Arabidopsis thaliana: one gene and its partner. The protein of the gene in region 1 interacts with the protein of each later gene in a pairwise test. Each region holds a gene or a part of one and is shown in the gene's direction. Other genes may lie near its edges.

Evidence for each region. Proteins that work in one complex are often made in the same cells at the same time.
Region 2: the proteins of AT3G03210 (region 1) and AT2G37050 interact in a protein complementation assay, tested with the Arabidopsis thaliana proteins (one large-scale study listed by BioGRID).

Annotation. Positions count from the first base shown.
Region 1 is NC_003074.8:734,484-746,275, forward strand, and holds AT3G03210 (Pmr5/Cas1p GDSL/SGNH-like acyl-esterase family protein), read left to right. Parts: upstream 1-6,220; 5' UTR 6,221-6,503; coding exon 6,504-7,610; 3' UTR 7,611-7,826; downstream 7,827-11,792. Other genes in the region: GSTF11 (glutathione S-transferase F11), read left to right, coding at 588-734, 807-855, 946-1,394; NAC045 (NAC domain containing protein 45), read right to left, coding at 1,658-2,058, 2,155-2,224, 2,330-2,578, 2,695-2,976, 3,070-3,350, 3,888-4,044; EXPA13 (expansin A13), read right to left, coding at 8,172-8,484, 9,005-9,492; AT3G03230 (alpha/beta-Hydrolases superfamily protein), read right to left, coding at 9,995-10,288, 10,381-10,636, 10,931-11,142, 11,287-11,526. UniProt on the Arabidopsis thaliana protein: Component of the plant cell wall polysaccharide acetylation pathway. Does not directly catalyze O-acetylation of xyloglucan but exhibits weak acetylesterase activity in vitro.
Region 2 is NC_003071.7:15,566,846-15,575,071, forward strand, and holds AT2G37050 (Leucine-rich repeat protein kinase family protein), read left to right. Parts: upstream 1-2,080; 5' UTR 2,081-2,444; coding exon 2,445-2,523; intron 2,524-2,775; coding exon 2,776-3,313; intron 3,314-3,396; coding exon 3,397-3,902; intron 3,903-3,975; coding exon 3,976-4,108; intron 4,109-4,195; coding exon 4,196-4,267; intron 4,268-4,353; coding exon 4,354-4,422; intron 4,423-4,499; coding exon 4,500-4,571; intron 4,572-4,671; coding exon 4,672-4,737; intron 4,738-4,825; coding exon 4,826-4,989; intron 4,990-5,078; coding exon 5,079-5,323; intron 5,324-5,416; coding exon 5,417-5,543; intron 5,544-5,623; coding exon 5,624-5,692; coding exon of another isoform or gene 5,693-5,700; exon of another isoform or gene 5,701-5,767; coding exon 5,768-5,954; intron 5,955-6,053; coding exon 6,054-6,189; intron 6,190-6,290; coding exon 6,291-6,632; 3' UTR 6,633-6,904; downstream 6,905-8,226.

The DNA of each region.
Region 1 (11,792 bases):
TTAACATGGCATTTAGAGTTCTTAACACTCTCTAGTCTCTTGTATCATATTTGACATAATTGGACTGTACAAAAACAAATACCTTTTGTATTTTATTTTAAATTTACAAAATTTTACATATATGTAATTAGAAACCTGATTTAGCAAATTAGAGCAATCAGAAACATTCATGAATGCCAAAATATATACGCAAAGTAACCTTCAAAGTTTGTTTCACATCGACACTTATTATAAGTTAACTGTAATTAAATGTTGGTTCGTCTACTGTACACATCTCCAGTACTATAGTGAAAAATAATTCACAGCTCTTGTAAACGTTATTATTCACAATTTTAATTAGAACAACAACAAAAAACATTTTAAAAATCAAGAATTCCATGCTAAAAGCACGTTTCATGATCTCACCTACTCAAAGGTCCAACGGATTTGAAAAAAAAAAAAAAAATGACCACTGATTAATATCCACAGCAGACAAAGGCACTCATAAACATTTTATAACTTTTGTGGCCTATAAATGCATACATCCACATTCATGTCGGTATTTACAATTTCATATCAATAGTTACGTATAAACATATAATCAGAAAATGGTGGTCAAAGTATATGGGCAGATAAAAGCAGCTAATCCACAAAGAGTATTGCTCTGCTTTTTGGAAAAAGACATCGAGTTTGAAGTAATTCATGTCGATCTCGATAAACTTGAACAGAAAAAACCACAACATCTTCTTCGTCAGGTATATAAGTCACAATATTTTCAGTATTATCACAGAAAACGTGTTATTCATTACGTTGTATACTTGTATTAGCCGTTTGGTCAAGTTCCAGCTATTGAAGATGGATATCTGAAGCTTTTTGGTAAGATACATTCTCAAATATTTTGCTGCTTTTTCTCTTAAATGACTACATGTAGAAAAGCTATTTATATGTTCGATTTATGGTTTCAAGAATCGCGAGCCATAGCGAGGTACTACGCGACAAAGTATGCGGACCAAGGAACGGACCTATTGGGCAAGACTTTGGAGGGACGAGCCATTGTGGACCAGTGGGTGGAAGTTGAGAATAACTATTTCTACGCTGTGGCTCTACCCTTAGTTATGAACGTCGTCTTTAAGCCCAAGTCTGGTAAGCCATGCGACGTCGCTTTGGTTGAGGAGCTAAAGGTCAAGTTCGACAAGGTCCTGGATGTGTATGAGAACCGGTTAGCTACGAACCGGTACTTGGGCGGTGATGAATTCACATTAGCTGATTTGAGTCATATGCCCGGTATGAGATATATCATGAATGAAACCAGTTTGAGTGGTTTGGTTACGTCTCGAGAGAATCTCAACCGGTGGTGGAATGAGATTTCGGCTAGACCGGCTTGGAAGAAGCTCATGGAATTGGCTGCCTATTAATTTGTCTAGTAGTTCTTGTAGTCCTCCGTTAATGGCTTGAGTCAAGCCGCTTGACGCTTGTACTCCATTCAAATATTTGATGATATACTAATTTAAATTTGGATCGTCTAATTTATTGTTGTTATAGGTATAAGAAATATTTTTTAACAGTAAGAAGTACAACAGTTAAATGTAAATATTAGTATACATACATATATGTGTCTAAGTAAATGCCCTTTTATCAAAAAGGGATAAATAAATCAACAAATTTAAAAAGAAAAGAATCAGAAAAAAATAGCAAGACATTTGTAGTATTGCTGAGCCATTAAACTAAAAAGTGTTAGTTTTGTCTTCGTGATCTTCTCAGCTCTTTGTAACCAAGAATCTTTGTCCTCTTCAATGAACAATGTTCTCTCTTCCACATTGTGACTAATAGGATTGACGTGAACTTTCAACGTGTGACAAGGTACGACTTGGTGATATAGAATCTTTGTCGTTTGATATGTCGAGATGAGCATTTGGTTGTTAAATCTAGTTTCTTCTTCAACCACCTCGAATCCCGATGAATCAAGGGTTTCATTTGTATTCACGTCTTCATTATCTTCTATTTGATTCACGTTGTCCTCGTTATATATATCAAACGAGAGAAAATCATCGATATCTATGTTGTCATTGGTATTGTTACCTGTAAATTAAACAATTTGTAATTATCGTTAGATATAGGAAGAGCATCGATCATAACAATCTTGAATTTGAACCCAAATTATATATATATACTCACCATGAAATCCTGGATCTTCGTCAGTATTATCCAAACTCGATCTGATCTTCTGCTCTTTTATATAACCAGTCTTTTCAAATGCATAAATATAATTCTATATGTTAGGTTTAAAATTATATATAAATGGTATATAAAACATACAGCATATATTATTTCAATAGTCTGATATGCATACCTGGTTCATATGACGGTTAGATGTTATTAATTGTTCATCATAATTGCCAACGTGGATCACTTGATCACCAACGCTATTATTGTGGTTGGAGTTACTTGCAGCAAAAGTAAAGTCATCGAAAACGCCATGGTCGTTGTTGTGAGTCATACTCGTGAAGAAATCGGAATCACTAAACGCAGAGTTCTCTACACGCAACGGTGGTAGATATATATTGTGTTGTAACATTGAACATTCGATCTCTGTGTTAACCTGAATGAAAATATAGAAAACCCATTATTAAAAATATGTTATATGTCGATGGTCATGTATCAAACTTTATAGGGTAATCAATGATGGATTTTAAAACTTTGAAATATTAGCTATACCTTATATGGAGTAGGGAACGGTCTATAAGAAGAACCGTAGTATTGTGACCAATCCTCGTTGCTGATTGCGTTGGAGTTAAATCGCTCGTTGCCAAATCGCGGTTGGAATGTGTTTTGAACTTGATGAGTAGTTGAACTGATTTCGAGATCCGAACAAGTGTCAAAACTCGATGAGCAATTACCACTCACATTCGACATCGCGTGGACATATGACCGATGTTGATCTCTTGGCTTAGCTTCAATAACAATCTTTTTGAACACACGACAAAGTGCATATGCGTCCTACAAATATAAAATTCAATTTAGATGGTTTTTCCTAATGCTATGTACAATATTAAAATGATTGTAGTCGAATCCAGTTAGTTAGCAACGAACCTGCATGCCGTATGCAGAAGGCTCACATTCTGTTTCATCAAGTCGATATTCGTGCATGACCCAACCAGTTCTTATGCCATGTGGCGCGCGCCCACGGTAGTAAACCAATGTCTTCTTGGTTCCTATGGCTCGGTCTCTCCAACTAACTCGGCGGTCTTTACCTGTAGCCTTCCAATAACCGCCTTTAGTTGCCCGGTTTGTCCTTGAGCCGTTGGGATACTTCCGGTCTCGTGGGCTGAAGAAGTACCATTCTTGGTCTTTGCTCGGAAGCAAGGACTTCCCTATTATTGAATTCATAATTGATTACTTTAAGTAACGTAATTTATCAGCAGATATTGGATGACGTAAATTAAAATTATGATTCAATTAAGCTGGCATTCATGTTTTCATGAGTTACAATTTTATATTTAAACATTTTTAAAAATTATTTTGACATTTTAATTCCTAAAAGATTTGGTGAAAATGATGAAAAAAATAATAAAATAGTTATTTACAGAACTAGTATGTGTAATTGCACATGTGGTATTTTCCCGGTAGAGACTAAAGTATATTTAGGGTTTCTTCATCAATGCTATATTCTTATTCTTTTCTTCAATCTCTCTTGTTCCTATGGGTTTTAGACAAATAATAATAATTCTTAACGATTACAGATGTTGTAATTTAAATCCATATAAATGAATAATATATGCAGAATTTGATAACTAAAGTAGAATCGCGTAATTAATGTTGATCAGAAATCATATTTTTCAAAAAATTTAAATCATATTTGATTAAGTGGATCTCATGCATAAACAAGGGAAACGTCAAATTAATATTACCTGGTAAGTCCCATGGCTCACACTTGTAAAGATCAACTTCAGCGATAACTTCAAGTTCGATTTCTAGACCGTTGATCTTTCTTTTTAGATAGTAAGTAATTAGTTCCTCGTCTGTTGGATGGAATCGGAAACCTGGAGGTAACGAGACAGGAGCCATATATATAATCTCAAGTTGTTCTTGAAGTTATTTTGTTTGAATCAATTTCAAAGAAAGAAAGAGAGAGAATCGAGACTCGAGAGGAAGAAGAAGAGATTATAGAATAGGTATATGTTTTGTGTTCGTTGAGGGCTTGGAGAGCAAGGTTATATATAAAGAGGTAATGAAAAAGGGAGATGCAAAAGTGAATAAAGGGAAGGTCCCCATCCCAAAATAACATATAATGTTAAAAAAATTCAAAATTTAATTAATATTTACAATTCATCAATTTCTGTCCGACGCATATATAATATTGTTCGAAGTGTTTTTTTTATATTGATAGATAATTAAAATGCTAACAAATAACATGATCACGTGTAGATTCTGGTACTTAACCGGAATAATTAATCAAAAATTGCCGCCCTAAATGTAAACCGTGTTTCTTCATCAATTATATTATCCCATGCTTCTCCGAGAGTGGTCGGTCTGGAATATATGTGCACTTGTCAGATTTCTATTGGTTGCATGGGAGATCGAATCTTGGGTTAACCCAAAACTGTTGCAATCTCTCTTTCTTTTTTTTCTTTTTTTTTTTTGTTATTTGGCGGCACTTCTAACTGAAATAACTGTCTCTTTTGTACCCACTTGCATGCGAATCCTTTGTTTCCCTTCACATTGCCATCCGATCTACGTACATAGATCTTTTTTAAAAATAGATATCTTGATGTTGTAAATTTATACTAGTAGTGTTTTACATTTTATTTTGTCATTTATATATGTCTATTTCTGTTTCTCATATTCATATTGTATATCGTATATCGAATAGAAAGATGAACTCCATTTTATGGTCGTTCCATCAGTTAATGCTCATATATTTTCTAGTGTATTAGGCTGTTAATGTAAGGTTGTGTGATTCGGGAAAAAAAATTGAAATTTCGGAGATTTTGAAACAAAAATTAAAAAATTGAGTGGCCAGAAATCCTTTCCTCTCCATATTTAGTGTCGTCATATAAAATACCAAAACTTTTGTTCCAATATAGAAAAACTATTGACCGAAAGTCCAATTACGTACTCCAAAGACTTATGGATATAAGAAATTATAGTTTGAGTATTTATCATTTTGGTCGAAACTCGAAAGCTATATATAATCATATGAACATACAGTCACATTTGGTGTAGGCGACTATAAAACTTATCTAAAGTTGATTTATCAAAAAAAAACTTATCTAAAATTTGGAAAAATGAAATCGATCAGATATATATATATATATATATATATATATATAAAATTTGAACAAGCATATGGTTTTGAGATGGTTATATGTATGATCATGTGGGATCCAGCAGTTGTGAACATGTGAATAAATCCTTGGAAGCTATTGATGGGCCAACCCAAGAGAATCACTTCTCAGCCTTTCTCATCATCGTCATAACCTTTTTCTCTCATTATTCCAAATTCCATATTCTCTTTCTTCTTTGTATCACCATATATATACACATATATATATATCTTTAATATATCTACAATGTGTACATAGTACATACCCTTCTTGAGACATTTCCCTCACATGAATCCATCTTTTGGTTCTTTACTTAATTCTTTTTAACGTTCACACACATTCTATAAACTAATAACATATTAGTCCTATGATTAGCCCCACCATTAGATTGGGTCATTGCCTCATTGGCAAAAATATATAAATTTGGTTAGAATGAGAAAGTAATAAATTAAAAGTTAATATGTAAAAATCGGTTGAAACTATTATGAAATTTCGGAGTCTACAAGATCCCCAAGACTTAAGACCGTGAAGAAAAATCACGAAATTACATGTAACTTTAGCTATAAAAAAAGAAGTCTAAATGATTATAATGATTTTTTCTCCATTTATTATATGATGAAAACGCGGATCTACAGAATTTAATGTCATTCCAAGATGAAATCGTACGTATGAAAATACACATAAGGAAAGTGTCATTGATTTGTTGAACGATGTGGGCTAAATGGGCTTTCCCGTGGGCCGAGTAACTTATGATCAATCTACAAGCGGTCACGTGAATAAATGGGCTTGACCGTGGGCCGAGGAACTTATGATTAATCTAAAAGCGGTCACGTGATTCCCAGCGGTGAGCGCACGTTAGAATAGTTCCCAGTTCCATAATGAGGCTAAAGTGAGCCGAACCATGTCTGAGAGTCAGAGAGATGAGATCATAAATTAATGGAGATCTTACAAATATGGAAAATTTTAAATACAAAAAATCGAACCAAAGAAGAAGAAGCCTACGGTTGTTCTGTTCCTTTCAATCTCACCAAATTTTCATCTTCACCTTCAATTTTGATAGATTCTCTTCACCGAACCAAATCCGTAACCCTAGCTTCTTCTTAAATTATAGAGAAAAAGAGTTAATTCGAATCTGGATGAAATTGGTTTTGTCTAGATGGAAATCTAGATGTGTCTGATTCCGAAATCTGAGTCTGAGAGATGCTAGGAGCGATTCATTTGGGAGTATTAGCAGCTTGTTTCGTCCTCTTCGTTCCCATGGCAATGGCTGGTTGGCATCTGAGCAGGAACAAGATGCTCTTCTTTAGTGGCGCTTTGTTTATTTCTCTCGCGGTTTGTGTTCATCTCACGCCTTATTTCCCTTCCGTTTCCGACATCGTTGCCTCTGTTTCCTCTGTTGTTGTCTACGATCATCGTATCTCTTGTATCAACGAGGTTAATCAGATTGTCTGGGATGTTAAACCGGTACCGAATCCGGAGTCTGTTCGTAGGAACAATGGCTCAACAAAGCTTGATTATTTCGTGAAGAACTGGGATTGGATGAAATCGAGGAAAGTTTTGAGTTGTGAGTTTCAGAAATTGGATAAGTTCGATGTTTCGGATTTGTTGAATGGATCGTGGGTTGTTGTTGCTGGTGATTCTCAGGCGAGATTCGTGGCTTTGTCTTTGTTGAATCTTGTTTTGGGTTCGGATTCCAAGGCTATGGATTCGGTTAGAGGGGATTTGTTTAGGAGACATAGTGATTACAGCATTGTGGTTAAGGAGATTGGGATGAAGCTTGATTTTGTTTGGGCTCCTTATGAGAAAGATTTGGATGATCTTGTGGTATCTTATAAGAAGATGAAAAAGTATCCTGATGTTGTGATCATGGGAACTGGGTTATGGCATATGCTTCATGTGAACAATGCTTCAGATTTTGGTTTTAGGTTGAGGCAATTGAGTAGTCATGTGGAGTCTCTAGTGCCCCTTACGCCAAAGGAGCAAGAAGGAGGTGGGTCGGTCTCCGGTAGATCTGTGCATCTGTTCTGGATTGGGATGCCGGTTTTGATCAACGGGATGTTGAATACGGATGAGAAGAAGGAGAAGATGAGTGATACGGTGTGGCATGAGTATGATAGATCACTCGGGGAGAGTAAGATCTTACGTCAAATGGGTGGTCCTCTTATCTTGCTTGATATCCAGTCGTTTACCTGGAACTGTGGACCGCAATGTACACTTGACGGGATGCATTATGACTCTGCGGTCTATGATGCCGCTGTCCATGTCATGCTCAATGCGTTGCTTATTGAATCTCATCAATCTTTATGAGTTCTTGACACGTTTTTTTTTTGTTTTTTTTCCTTTTATTTTGTTTGGGGTTCTCTTGTAGAGTTTTAAGAGAAGTGGGATGTTCATAGGAATTTTACAACACACGGTGATCCTTTTGGCCTGAGTGATCTTCACATTGGAGAAGTAAGTGAACTTACATTCATGGCTATAATAGGTTTAATATCTTTTGACTTTGAGAAGTTATAACCTTTAGCTATTCTGATTCTTGTTATATCACAGTACCCTTTTGGATTCTTTTTACGATAAGACTCAGTACTCATCATTAGCTTTAAGCACTTGAAGGAAGCTTTCGCTCCTTAGTAATGTAAACAAATAGATACAATAGTGATGTTTGTGTGATCACTGTTCTTAGTACATTGGTGAGTTTTTGTACCTATGCGTGGGAGAGAGAGAACTATGAAATGCAAAAGTCTGACCCAAGTTCTTTCCTTTTCAACCCTAAAGATAACCTTAGACCAAGATCGATATACTTGCCATCAAAAAATTCTGACCCGGAAAAAAAGAATCATGGGATTGTATCTCAATGTGTCCGTCTCTGTCTCACGGAGTCTCGAATTGTTTCCCTTCGAAGGTCTGTCCATAATTCCAGTTTTTCGGGGAGACATTGTAAGATGTCACGGTTGACCTGTCACTAGAAGTTACTTCAAATGAGAGAGCTTGGTTCCTGAGATCAGCATTAATATGCCAATTTTGTCCCCAATTACGACCCATAGGTAACCACCCGGTTCTCGACCCTTTGATCTTCACAGCAGCTATATCACCGGACCCTGCAACATTGGTGATCAAAACCGAAATGAAAATGCCTCCACCATCGACTGTAAACCGCATGCTCCCTTCCTTTCTACAGTTGATCCTGTTTTGGTAAAAGCCAACAAAAATGGTTGTAAGTCATAACTCATAACTTAAGTGATATGCAACTAACTATTTATAGGCTCAGCTCCAAAACACTTCACAAACTAATAAAGGATCTAATGATCCATTGTATCATGAACCTAAATAGTAGTTTACCGCATTGTGCCTAGAACTTCACAGAAACAGTCAATTTCAGTCCTCTCATGGCTAAGATGAAAATGAGAGCAAAGCTACTCAACTATGATGAGCAAACCTATCTACCATTTCTCAGAATCTTGTACACACTAAGATAAAACGATTAGGGGCAATAAAGTAAATTGCATATTGAGGAAGAGATTTAGGGTAAACCCATCTCACATAATAAAGCACACGGATATCGAAGAAGACACAAAAGCAAAAGCATCGCCGGATTTTTTAAATCGATAGTGGCGTCTAAAAGCAGAACCGCGTTCCCCACCACCGCAAACGCATTTTTTTAACAAAACGCGAAACAAATTGGGAAAAAGCGGAGAGAAACGCACCTTCGATACTGCACCGGCATGTTCCCAGCTTTCCAAATAGCGATCTTCTCAAACGCTTCGATCGGAAGCACGAAATGTTTGTTAGGTGGATTACAATGACCACCACCGTCGGGATCAAATCCGTAATTAGGAGCACAGAAATTCGTAGCGGTGAGTATAATTGAAGTTCCAGGGATACACCAACGGAGATCATCAACACATCTGAGCTCGAAACAAGCACCACAGATCTGACCACGCTCAAACAGAGTCTCGCTTAGACCAACAGTAGCCATACCGTACCCAGATTTGACGAGATCTCCGTATCCACACGCACCGCCCACCGCGTCTCGAGGATTCGTAGCGGCGTAGTAGGTGGCTCGAGCTGGACGCCATTCTGAGGCGTCGGAAGAAACGGAGGACGAAGAAGGTGAAGAGGTTGAGGAAGAGTAATGACAAATCGCCGGCGGCGATAGTGCAAGGAAGAGTAAAGGTAGAAGAAACCGTTGCATCTCTCCGGCGAGAGAGAAAATGCGAATTTTTGATTTTAGAGATTTTGATTTTTGATGATTTAATTTTGGTTTAGTGTTTTTTTCAGTCTTTTAGTGGGAAAACATTTTGCTTTTACCGGTTTGTCGGTTTATATAAAATGACTAAAATGCCCTCAATCGAAATGGGTTAGGGTAAGGCCCAAATCACAAAACCCAAATCTCGTGATCAAAGTGAGGACTTCAGTAACAATTTTGGGTCAACTTTACCTTTCGTTCATGTGTCTCCATCCGACTCTCTCCCATGCTCAAAAAAGTATGTCATGATATTTTTCATTTGGATCAATTTGACATTTGATTTTTTTTTTGTAAACTGTACTATCTGACATACCAGATTTATATAAATTATTGTAAATAGGTTAGATAATGTTCTTTGTCACATGAAACTTACATAGCCATAATTTTTCTTAAACTGATTTTAGATACAAATCTTTTAGAGTTTTTTTTTGTTATAATGTATCTTCCACTAGTCACTACAAGCGGCTTTGATAATGGCTTCAAAATGCCGCTTCTCATGGATAATATAATGTCCACCATCAGGGACCTCATGGAGCTTTATCCATGGCAGTTTATCGCATATATAGAGTAAAACATCGCGTGAAATTTGTTTGTCTTCGAGTGCACACCACATATGAACCGACCCTTTGTTACTATCCGAAAACGGATTCTTCAATTCGGTTGGATCAAATTCCCAATTCCCGTAACCCGCTATGATGTCTTGTTGTGTGGTCACATATCCACCTTGTCGTAAAGCAGACTCCTATAGTAATAATAGCATTCATGCATGAATGTTTACTTCTTTCAAAAAAAAAAAAAAAAGAGAGTGGATCATAAAGTTCGTAATATATATACCTTGATATAAGAGTGTTTGGTATGCTTTTCCGCGAGTTCTAGGTCGCGCTCGGTCATAGTATCTTTGGGATTTCGACTATTCGGGAACCATTTCTGAGTCATCCACCAATATAACAACCATGGAGAGTAGTGTGCGACTCGAAGTGTCAATTGAAATCCAATTGGCAATTTCTTCATCGCTGCATTCAATAAGTTTTGAGGCACACGGCTCCACCAAAAATTCACTAACGGAACAACCAACGAAGCTCCACTGAGCCTATCGATGTTATAAGAAAAACAATTAAGGCTAATATACAAACCACTACATTATAATCTTATTTGTATAAGTGAAATATCTAAGTCGGTCACTTGGTCTTATAGTATAACGTCACTTATGGACTTATGGTAATTAAACGATGAGGATGAAACAAGAGAATTCTTATCACAAATGGATAAAGCAAATGTCTTTTACGTAAGAACTTGTTTTGATAAGTATTGAGAAGTGACCATCACAAATAATATTTCAATTTTTTGATAATGTTCTTAAGAGATAACCGATTGATATATTTACCTATTAGGAATGTATTTGAGGCAACCGTAAACAGGGTAAGCTCCAAGTGACATGCCTATAACGTGGAACTTTGGACCGACTTGCAATTTGTCAGCAAGTTCTTCGATATCGTATGTATCTGTTTTCAGCGTTCGTGTTGGATTAGGATCGCTTTCTCCATAACCAGCTCTATCGAAGAACAAAAAGTATATCTTGAATTCATCAATCATTTCCTGAAAGCCAGAGGAGCGTTATCATTGCAAATAGTATTATTCATTATACATAACAATCATTAATTGTACAAATAAACCACCAAAAAGTATTAAAATAGTTGCGGTCTCTTTCTTTATTTCGTTCTTAATTCAATCCTTGTGTACCTGTGTGATGTATAAATCGACGTCTTTGGAATTTCCATTTCCGTGGACGATTATTATTTTGTTTTTGGCTTTGTCCTTTGGAAACCCTAATTCCTTGTACGCTAAATGCCTTCCATCATTGAGCTTGATTCTTGGAGATATCTCGGAAACATTTTCCGGCAGTGGAATCGGTGGCGGCGGTGTTATGGACTTGTAGACATAATAGCTTATTAATCCCACAATCACAAGTAGAAGCACCATTATTTAGCCTATAAGTCTTGGAACCAAAAGACTAGAATTGATTTAAAGAAAATGAAAGAAGAAGAAACTCAGGAACTAATATATGTTTAACAATTTCAACAATTATTAGAGAGAAAAATGCGCTGATGTAATGGTATCTTTGGTCCAAGCAACTTAATAATGTAGTACTATTTATTTTTGTTGGCAAGTAAAGCATGACCACTTTTGTTTACAAATTTCTTTTTGTCCTTCTCTCTTTGTTACACATGTCTTGATAACTTATCTTG
Region 2 (8,226 bases), on another chromosome or scaffold:
ATAACTAATGCATTCAGTGATTGACACATCAGCTTAGTACTATTTTTTATTTTTTCATTTTTACGCATAGTATGTGTCGTTTTTATTTAACTTTGTTTCTTTCTCAAATGATTTTCTCTTTCATCCCCACGATCTCCACATCTCCACTTTCTCTCTTCCAAAAACTCCATGACTACTGTGTAAAATCTCAAAAATGGGTTTCTCAACATCATTAATCGATTACTCAGAAATCAGGTACTTTGTTCATCTCAATGAACCAATTTACCATCTTCTATTTCTGTTTGTAATTTTGTTTTATATATATAGAAATTTTCCATAGATCCGAAAATCATATATCCTTCTTCTAGATTTCTATGGTTTTTTTTTTTTTTTGCTTTGTTTCTGCTTTATTTGACTGAATTCGATTTCTCTCATACATCTCCATTTTTCCATAGGATTATTCTTTAATACAATCAATGCCTATGATTCTCCCGTCTCACAAACACTCAAGGAACAACGACAAATTTTGGCTTCTCATCTGAACAGTTGCCTTAAAACAAGGGTGAGTTTAATATCTTAATCGAAGCTCAAGTGTTTTTTTGATGGTAAATTAATTCTCATACTTTTTACTATTCTTCTTTCATCTCTTATTTTACTTCTTTATATCTGCAATTTCTTTTTTGTATTAAACTGCAATTGTATTTTCACGCAAGATTTTTGTATTAATACAAATACTTCAATTTTAAAGTCATCTCTTATTTTACTTCTTTATATCTGCAATATCTTTGATATTGTTTCAAAGGCAGCGTCTGCGTCATGTAGTTACTTATTTGTGCACATTTTACATTTTTTTTTAGACTTCCAAGCTTTGGGTGTCAACGAATGTTTGTAAACTGAATTACTGATGATGAGAAGAAGAACACATTACAATTGGTTGGAGCTAATGATGAAATAAGCGGACATGTATATACCCAGCATAATTTTCGTACTTATACTCTCTTATATTTCTAAACTCTTGATTTGTTAGTTATTGCCTATCGCAATTGATTCATTGGGTAGAAAAGTTGTACCTTCTTTATATCTTTTTCTTAATCTTTGTATATTCTTCGATCAATGATAATAAATTTGTTGTATATTAATACTGTCTGCTTTATTTTAAAATTTTTAGTTAAAAGTTGTAACAGATATAATCTAAAACAATGTTATCCCTAAATAGGGGCCAAATGCTAGTTATATTCTAAATCAGTAAATAATAGTTACTACATGCACACTAAAACAGACATAGCGTACGTGGGGGACTTATTTTGGGAATTGTCACATGTGTGTGAGTCACTCACCACTAGGTTCGATTTATATCTAACGATTTTTCCCGGAAATATTTATGGACGAAAAAGCAAACATTATAAGATTCATTTGTTTGTTTTATATAGTACACAAATAATAGAGAATTAAATCACTAATTTTAATGAAAATTAAAAATAAATAATATATATATATATATATATATATATCTGTTGACGAAAATAAAAGCAAGTATATCCGAATAAAATTACGAATATAATTTAGGGATGAAAATAGAATCTCCTATACAGTTAAGATATTATAAGAATATTCATGGTTAGACTATCTTAGAATTAGATAATTAAGGAAAATTATCGTGATCATCAATTTACAAATTTCATACCTGAATTCATTGTTTAATAAGGTAACCTGTTTATTTTAGTTTTAAAAGTATATCAACAAGAGAACTTTGATCACTAAAAAACAAAATTCATACAAACTTTAATCACTTCCCTATATTGAAATGATCTAATCTGGATGAAAAAAATATTATTTATTAATTTCCCATAAAACAATAAACATGTGGATGTAGCTCTTAAATATTCTTAGAGGCAGAGAATGTCATTTATTCAAATCCGGAAATATATTAAAAATGTTGAACAAAAAGAAAAAGAAATATATTAAAATGACACCGTTTCGCTGGAGACTGCTTGGTGGTGGAATTCACTACAACACGTTAAAGGTGGAACACAACGAATCTGGACCATTGAGTTTAAAGGTAAAGCAATTGAACCGTTAGATGTACGTAGAGTCCAGGCTAGGAAGATGGACCCAACAATTGTACCTTTACCACTTACCTCCACTGGCTTTGAAGCTGTTCCTCTCTCACATAAAAAAAGCAAACACTTAACGAGGAAGAAACACACTCATATCTCCTCACGTTCCCCAATTTTTTGATTTTTATTATCTTTTTGGGTTTTTGGGTTTGGTTAAACCATTTATGGGTCTTTAGATCTCTCTTGATAGTAAAGATAAGTAATTTTAGGGTCTGTTTGGTTCTGTTTCTGGAAATTTCACTTTTTTCACTTTTTTGGGATCACATTTAGCTTTTTTTGGTTCCTTTATTTTGTAACGCCATTTATGCGTTAAACTTGTGTGAAGTGTTTGTTTGGTCTGAGCTGGAGATGGTGAGAATCTCACTGCTTTTGTTGTGTTTACTGGTTTCAACTTGTCTCTTCACTTCTTCATCAGCACAAGCTCCAGGTAATTGACTGCTTCTGAGTACTTTTTGATGTTTCCTTGTTGAAATAGTTGGAAAGATTCTATTTTTATGTGATGTAGTAGTAACAAGGATTTTTGAAAGTTTAGGCTTTTGTTAACAAATCTCAAGAGCTGGTGGTGTTTGAGATTTGTGTGTAGTTATGCTCATATATGTTTGTTTAGTTAGATTGAAGTAGGGAAAAAGGGAATGGTAACACAAAGAATCAAACTTTTTTTTTTTTTTGGGTAAGGCAGGTTTTGTGAGCTTGGATTGTGGAGGTGCAGAGCCATTCACTGATGAACTTGGACTCAAATGGTCACCTGATAATCATCTCATTTATGGAGAAACCGCTAATATATCGTCCGTTAACGAAACAAGAACTCAGTACACGACTTTAAGGCATTTCCCTGCTGATTCAAGAAAGTATTGCTACACTCTCAATGTCACGAGTAGGAATAGATATCTCATTAGAGCTACTTTCTTGTATGGTAATTTCGACAACAGCAACAATGTGTATCCCAAATTCGATATCTCCCTCGGGGCGACTCATTGGGCGACCATTGTTATCTCTGAAACCTATATAATCGAAACTGCAGAACTGGTGTTTCTGGCTTCTTCTCCTACTGTTAGTGTTTGTTTGTCAAATGCCACAACTGGACAGCCGTTTATATCTACTCTTGAGCTTAGGCAGTTGAGTGGTTCGATGTATGGTTCGATGCTATCTGAAGACCGGTTTTACCTGAGTGTTGCAGCACGGATAAATTTCGGGGCTGAAAGTGAAGCTTCTGTGAGGTCAGTATACAGTTCATAATCTGTTTGTTGTTTCAGCATTGTGATTTATCAGGATGAGTTAAGGAAATGAGTTGGTATTGCAGGTACCCGGATGATCCGTATGATAGAATATGGGAATCTGATTTGCAAAAGAAGCCTAATTATCTTGTGGATGTTGCTGCTGGGACTGTGCGAGTGTCGACTACATTGCCAATCGAAAGCAGGGTCGATGACAGACCGCCTCAGAAGGTTATGCAGACGGCTGTGGTTGGAACAAACGGGTCCTTAACTTACAGAATGAACCTAGATGGCTTCCCTGGTTTTGGTTGGGCATTCACATACTTTGCTGAAATCGAGGATTTGGCTGAGGATGAGTCAAGGAAGTTTAGATTAGTTCTACCTGAGCAGCCTGAGTATAGCAAATCGGTTGTTAACATCAAGGAAAATACACAGAGACCGTATCGCGTTTATGCACCTGGCTATCCTAACATAACACTTCCATTTGTGCTAAACTTTCGATTTGCCAAAACGGCTGATTCTTCTAGGGGACCTATTCTGAATGCCATGGAGATCAGCAAATATTTGCGGAAAAGCGATGGTTCAGTAGATGGTGAGTACAACTAGCCCCTCCTCTTAGTGTTGTGGCCTCACATTTGATTCTAAGATGATTGCTTGTATTGCAGCAACTGTTATGGCTAATGTGGCATCGCTATATTCTTCCACTGAATGGGCTCAAGAAGGCGGTGACCCTTGTTCACCCTCACCGTGGTCATGGGTGCAATGCAATTCGGATCCACAACCAAGGGTTGTTGCTATGTAAGGAAGTCTATCTTAGTACCTTTATTTGCAATATGTCTTTTTGTCTGCATATTTCAACTATGTTATGCTTCATTCTTTCTGCAGCAAGCTGTCGAGTATGAACTTGACGGGAAATATACCTTCTGACCTGGTGAAATTGACTGGTTTGGTTGAGTTGTAAGTTACTTATTTCTTAGACTTTTGAATTTGGGATTATATAGAGATATTCTCTTTACTGATGTTGCAACTTTTGTCAATGGCAGATGGCTTGATGGGAATTCTTTTACGGGTCCAATACCGGATTTCTCTCGGTGTCCAAACCTGGAGATAATGTAAAATCACTTTCTTTGGAGTTTATATATTTTTTCTTGCCTTCATCTAACTATAAATATATAATGGACTGTGGCAGACACCTCGAGAACAACCGACTAACCGGAAAGATCCCTTCCTCGTTGACGAAACTCCCAAACCTGAAAGAACTGTATGCTTTTTTTAAAGGATAGTTTGATATATTAATTTGTGTGGTGGGGATGACCTTTTAATCTACATTCTTATGCACCCAACCTGCTTTATGATTGCAGGTACCTGCAGAACAATGTGTTAACAGGAACAATACCATCAGACCTGGCCAAAGATGTGATCTCAAAGTAAGTATATTGTCGGATTTAAACTGCTTTTGCATGAATAGTTCCTAGCTAGATCTTCTCAGTAACACATGTATTCTTCTTCCTTCAGCTTCTCTGGGAACCTTAACCTTGAAAAAAGTGGAGATAAAGGCAAGAAGCTCGGTGTCATCATCGGTGCATCAGTTGGTGCTTTTGTTCTGCTAATTGCAACCATCATTTCTTGCATCGTCATGTGCAAAAGCAAGAAGAATAACAAGTTGGGAAAAACTTCGGGTATGTTATATTTCTTCAAGTATACCGGTTTCATAGTGTATCTTGATTTTGAATGAATATGCTTACCTTTTTTCTTGGGTTTATTTCAGCAGAGTTAACGAATCGTCCCTTACCGATTCAGAGAGTTTCGTCTACCTTGAGTGAAGCTCATGGAGACGCTGCACATTGCTTCACACTTTATGAGATCGAGGAAGCCACAAAAAAATTCGAAAAGAGAATTGGGTCGGGAGGTTTTGGAATCGTATACTATGGTAAAACAAGGGAGGGGAAAGAGATTGCTGTAAAGGTTCTTGCAAATAATTCATATCAGGGAAAGAGAGAGTTTGCAAACGAGGTAAATCTGCCTTAGTCTAAAACCATGTGCCTAAGTATCTAGTTTTATTTTATTTTGCTTAGGAAGTAACACAAGTGATTATGGTTTTTTCAGGTTACATTACTCTCAAGGATACATCATCGGAACCTTGTGCAGTTTCTTGGTTATTGCCAAGAAGAGGGAAAAAACATGCTTGTGTATGAGTTCATGCACAATGGGACTTTGAAGGAGCATCTTTATGGTAACATATCTTTTTATGATAGGATGGTATATTTCAGCCTTTTGGCTTAACATTATGATAACAAGTGGATTTATTTTCAGGCGTGGTACCACGTGACCGGAGAATCAGTTGGATTAAAAGGCTTGAGATAGCTGAAGATGCAGCCCGAGGTCCGTGAATTGTACAACAAAACAGAAAGCCATTTTTTCGATATTTGATTTTGTTGGTTTTGATTGTTTCTGTAGGGATCGAGTATCTTCACACAGGGTGTGTTCCAGCAATCATACATAGAGATCTCAAGACTAGTAACATCCTACTTGACAAACACATGAGGGCAAAGGTTTCAGATTTCGGTTTGTCGAAATTCGCAGTTGACGGGACCTCACATGTCTCCAGCATTGTCCGTGGCACAGTTGGATATCTTGACCCCGAGTAAGCTAAGACTTAAACTAATACCAAGAACTTCAGATAGATTCACCAAAACTAGCATAATATCAAGAACTCACATATTTTCTTTATTCGATGTTAAAGGTACTATATATCGCAGCAGTTAACAGAGAAGAGTGATGTATATAGCTTCGGAGTCATTCTTCTTGAGCTAATGTCTGGCCAAGAAGCCATATCGAATGAAAGCTTTGGTGTCAACTGCCGGAACATAGTCCAATGGGTTAGTTCAACTTTTTTTTTGTGTGGTTACGCTTTGTTTGGATATATGTAATATGGAATCATAACGGTTTATAAATTATCGCTTGGTAACGGTTTTTGTAGGCTAAGATGCATATAGACAACGGGGACATCCGAGGGATCATCGATCCAGCGCTAGCGGAAGATGATTACAGTCTCCAATCAATGTGGAAGATTGCGGAGAAAGCGTTGCTGTGTGTGAAACCGCACGGGAACATGAGACCTTCGATGTCCGAGGTGCAAAAAGATATCCAAGACGCGATTAGGATCGAGAAGGAAGCGTTGGCTGCAAGAGGCGGTATATCAGACGAGTTTTCCAGGAGCTCGGCTCATTCGTCTTCGCTCAACATGGGAATGCTTGACCTGGCTGGATCACAGAGTTATGTATCCATTGATGAATCAGTATTGCAGCCAACAGCTCGGTAGTAGATTCGGCTTTGTTTGTACAGATGCATTACTTGCTTGTGTTTTTGACCTTTCACATTGTCTCTGGTCTTTAGTTATTAGTTTTGAGCTTAACACTACTTTTTTTTCTTTCTTTTGGACTCGAGGTTACAAGAAGTGCTTCGAGTTTGTTTGTTTTTCTTTTATTGTTTTCAGACTAACTCGGTGATTTATGTGGGATTGTGATATATTATGTTTTCTTTTAACTGATTTTCACATTTTCAACTGATTATATAGGATGATGTTTATGCTCTCGTAGAAATAAGTTCTATAGGTTATTGACACATTCGAGATTCAGGCGCAGTTGTGTTAGTAGTGGTCAAACCAAACCCACGAGTTACTTCTCATGATACAGTAGGTTAATAAAGGGCTTGAATGGTGTACACTTTTATTTTACGTTTTGAAAACATAATTCTGATAAATACATGTTATTCTAAAAAATTTACGCTAAAATTATAGAACATGAATTTAAACACTATAATCTATAACTATATTTTTTTTAAAACATTGATTTAATGATATGGGATGTTTTTCTCAGTGCTTATAAGCCAAAAAATATGTTGGTAATCTCAAAAAAAAAACCTTGAAAACAAGGAGGCCGATCAGGGTTCTTTGGGCTTTGGAATCGAGAAGTTTGATCAATGTTCTCTTGGTACAGCCTGATGATGAGGCCCCATTAGAAAAGCTATTTCATACTCCAGAGTCCATATCTGAATGTACAAGGTTTTTAAATGGAGAAAAGCCTATAGAAGAAATTGTTGACTATACTTCTTCTTGTACTAGCTGGGAAACTGATACTGACTATACAGATACTGAGAAAGAAGAGTCCAATGTTCTCTTGGTACAGGATACTGATACTGAGAAAGTGGAGTCCAATGGTCTCTTGGTACATGATACTGATACTGAGAAAGTGGAGTCCAATGTTCTCTTGGTACAGCCTCATGATACAGAAAAGGTGTTTCCTACTTCAAGCTCAGTATCTGATTGTACAAGCCTATTAGATGGAGGAAAGCCGCCTATGGACCAAAGCGTAAGCTCACAAGGTGTCGACAATATTACTGCGTGATCTATTTTTTATTTTATCTTTGTTTATGCACGCGTTCTCCGTTTTGCTCTATGTTTTTCTTTTCTTCTCTCCCAATTCTATATCGTGATCTCAGTCGAAACCATGAGTGAAGATTTCTCCAGTAAGATCTCTTTCTTCCATATGTCATACATGTAGACGTTCTTTTGTGGGAAATGGACACTCCTGTGGACTATCCTACAGAATCCAATATTATCCTCATCTCTAACAACATCGAAGGTGATATTGACTTCATCCAGTGTCTTGTATCTTCAGCTTCCGCAGGTTACAATAATCTCTTCGTAGAGACTACTGAGGCTGCTCCCGAGAACCTTGAAACCACAGGATGGCCGACATACATATTACAAGGAGGGAAGCCTATCGGCCGAATCCGCTATAATCCGCCTCGCGATCTGTAGTTGTTTTCATTGAGCGGAAGAAGAAACATGAGGTAACATAAGAGCAGAGCTGATACTTTGATTCGGTGCATATGCCTATTTTGCTACTGGTGTC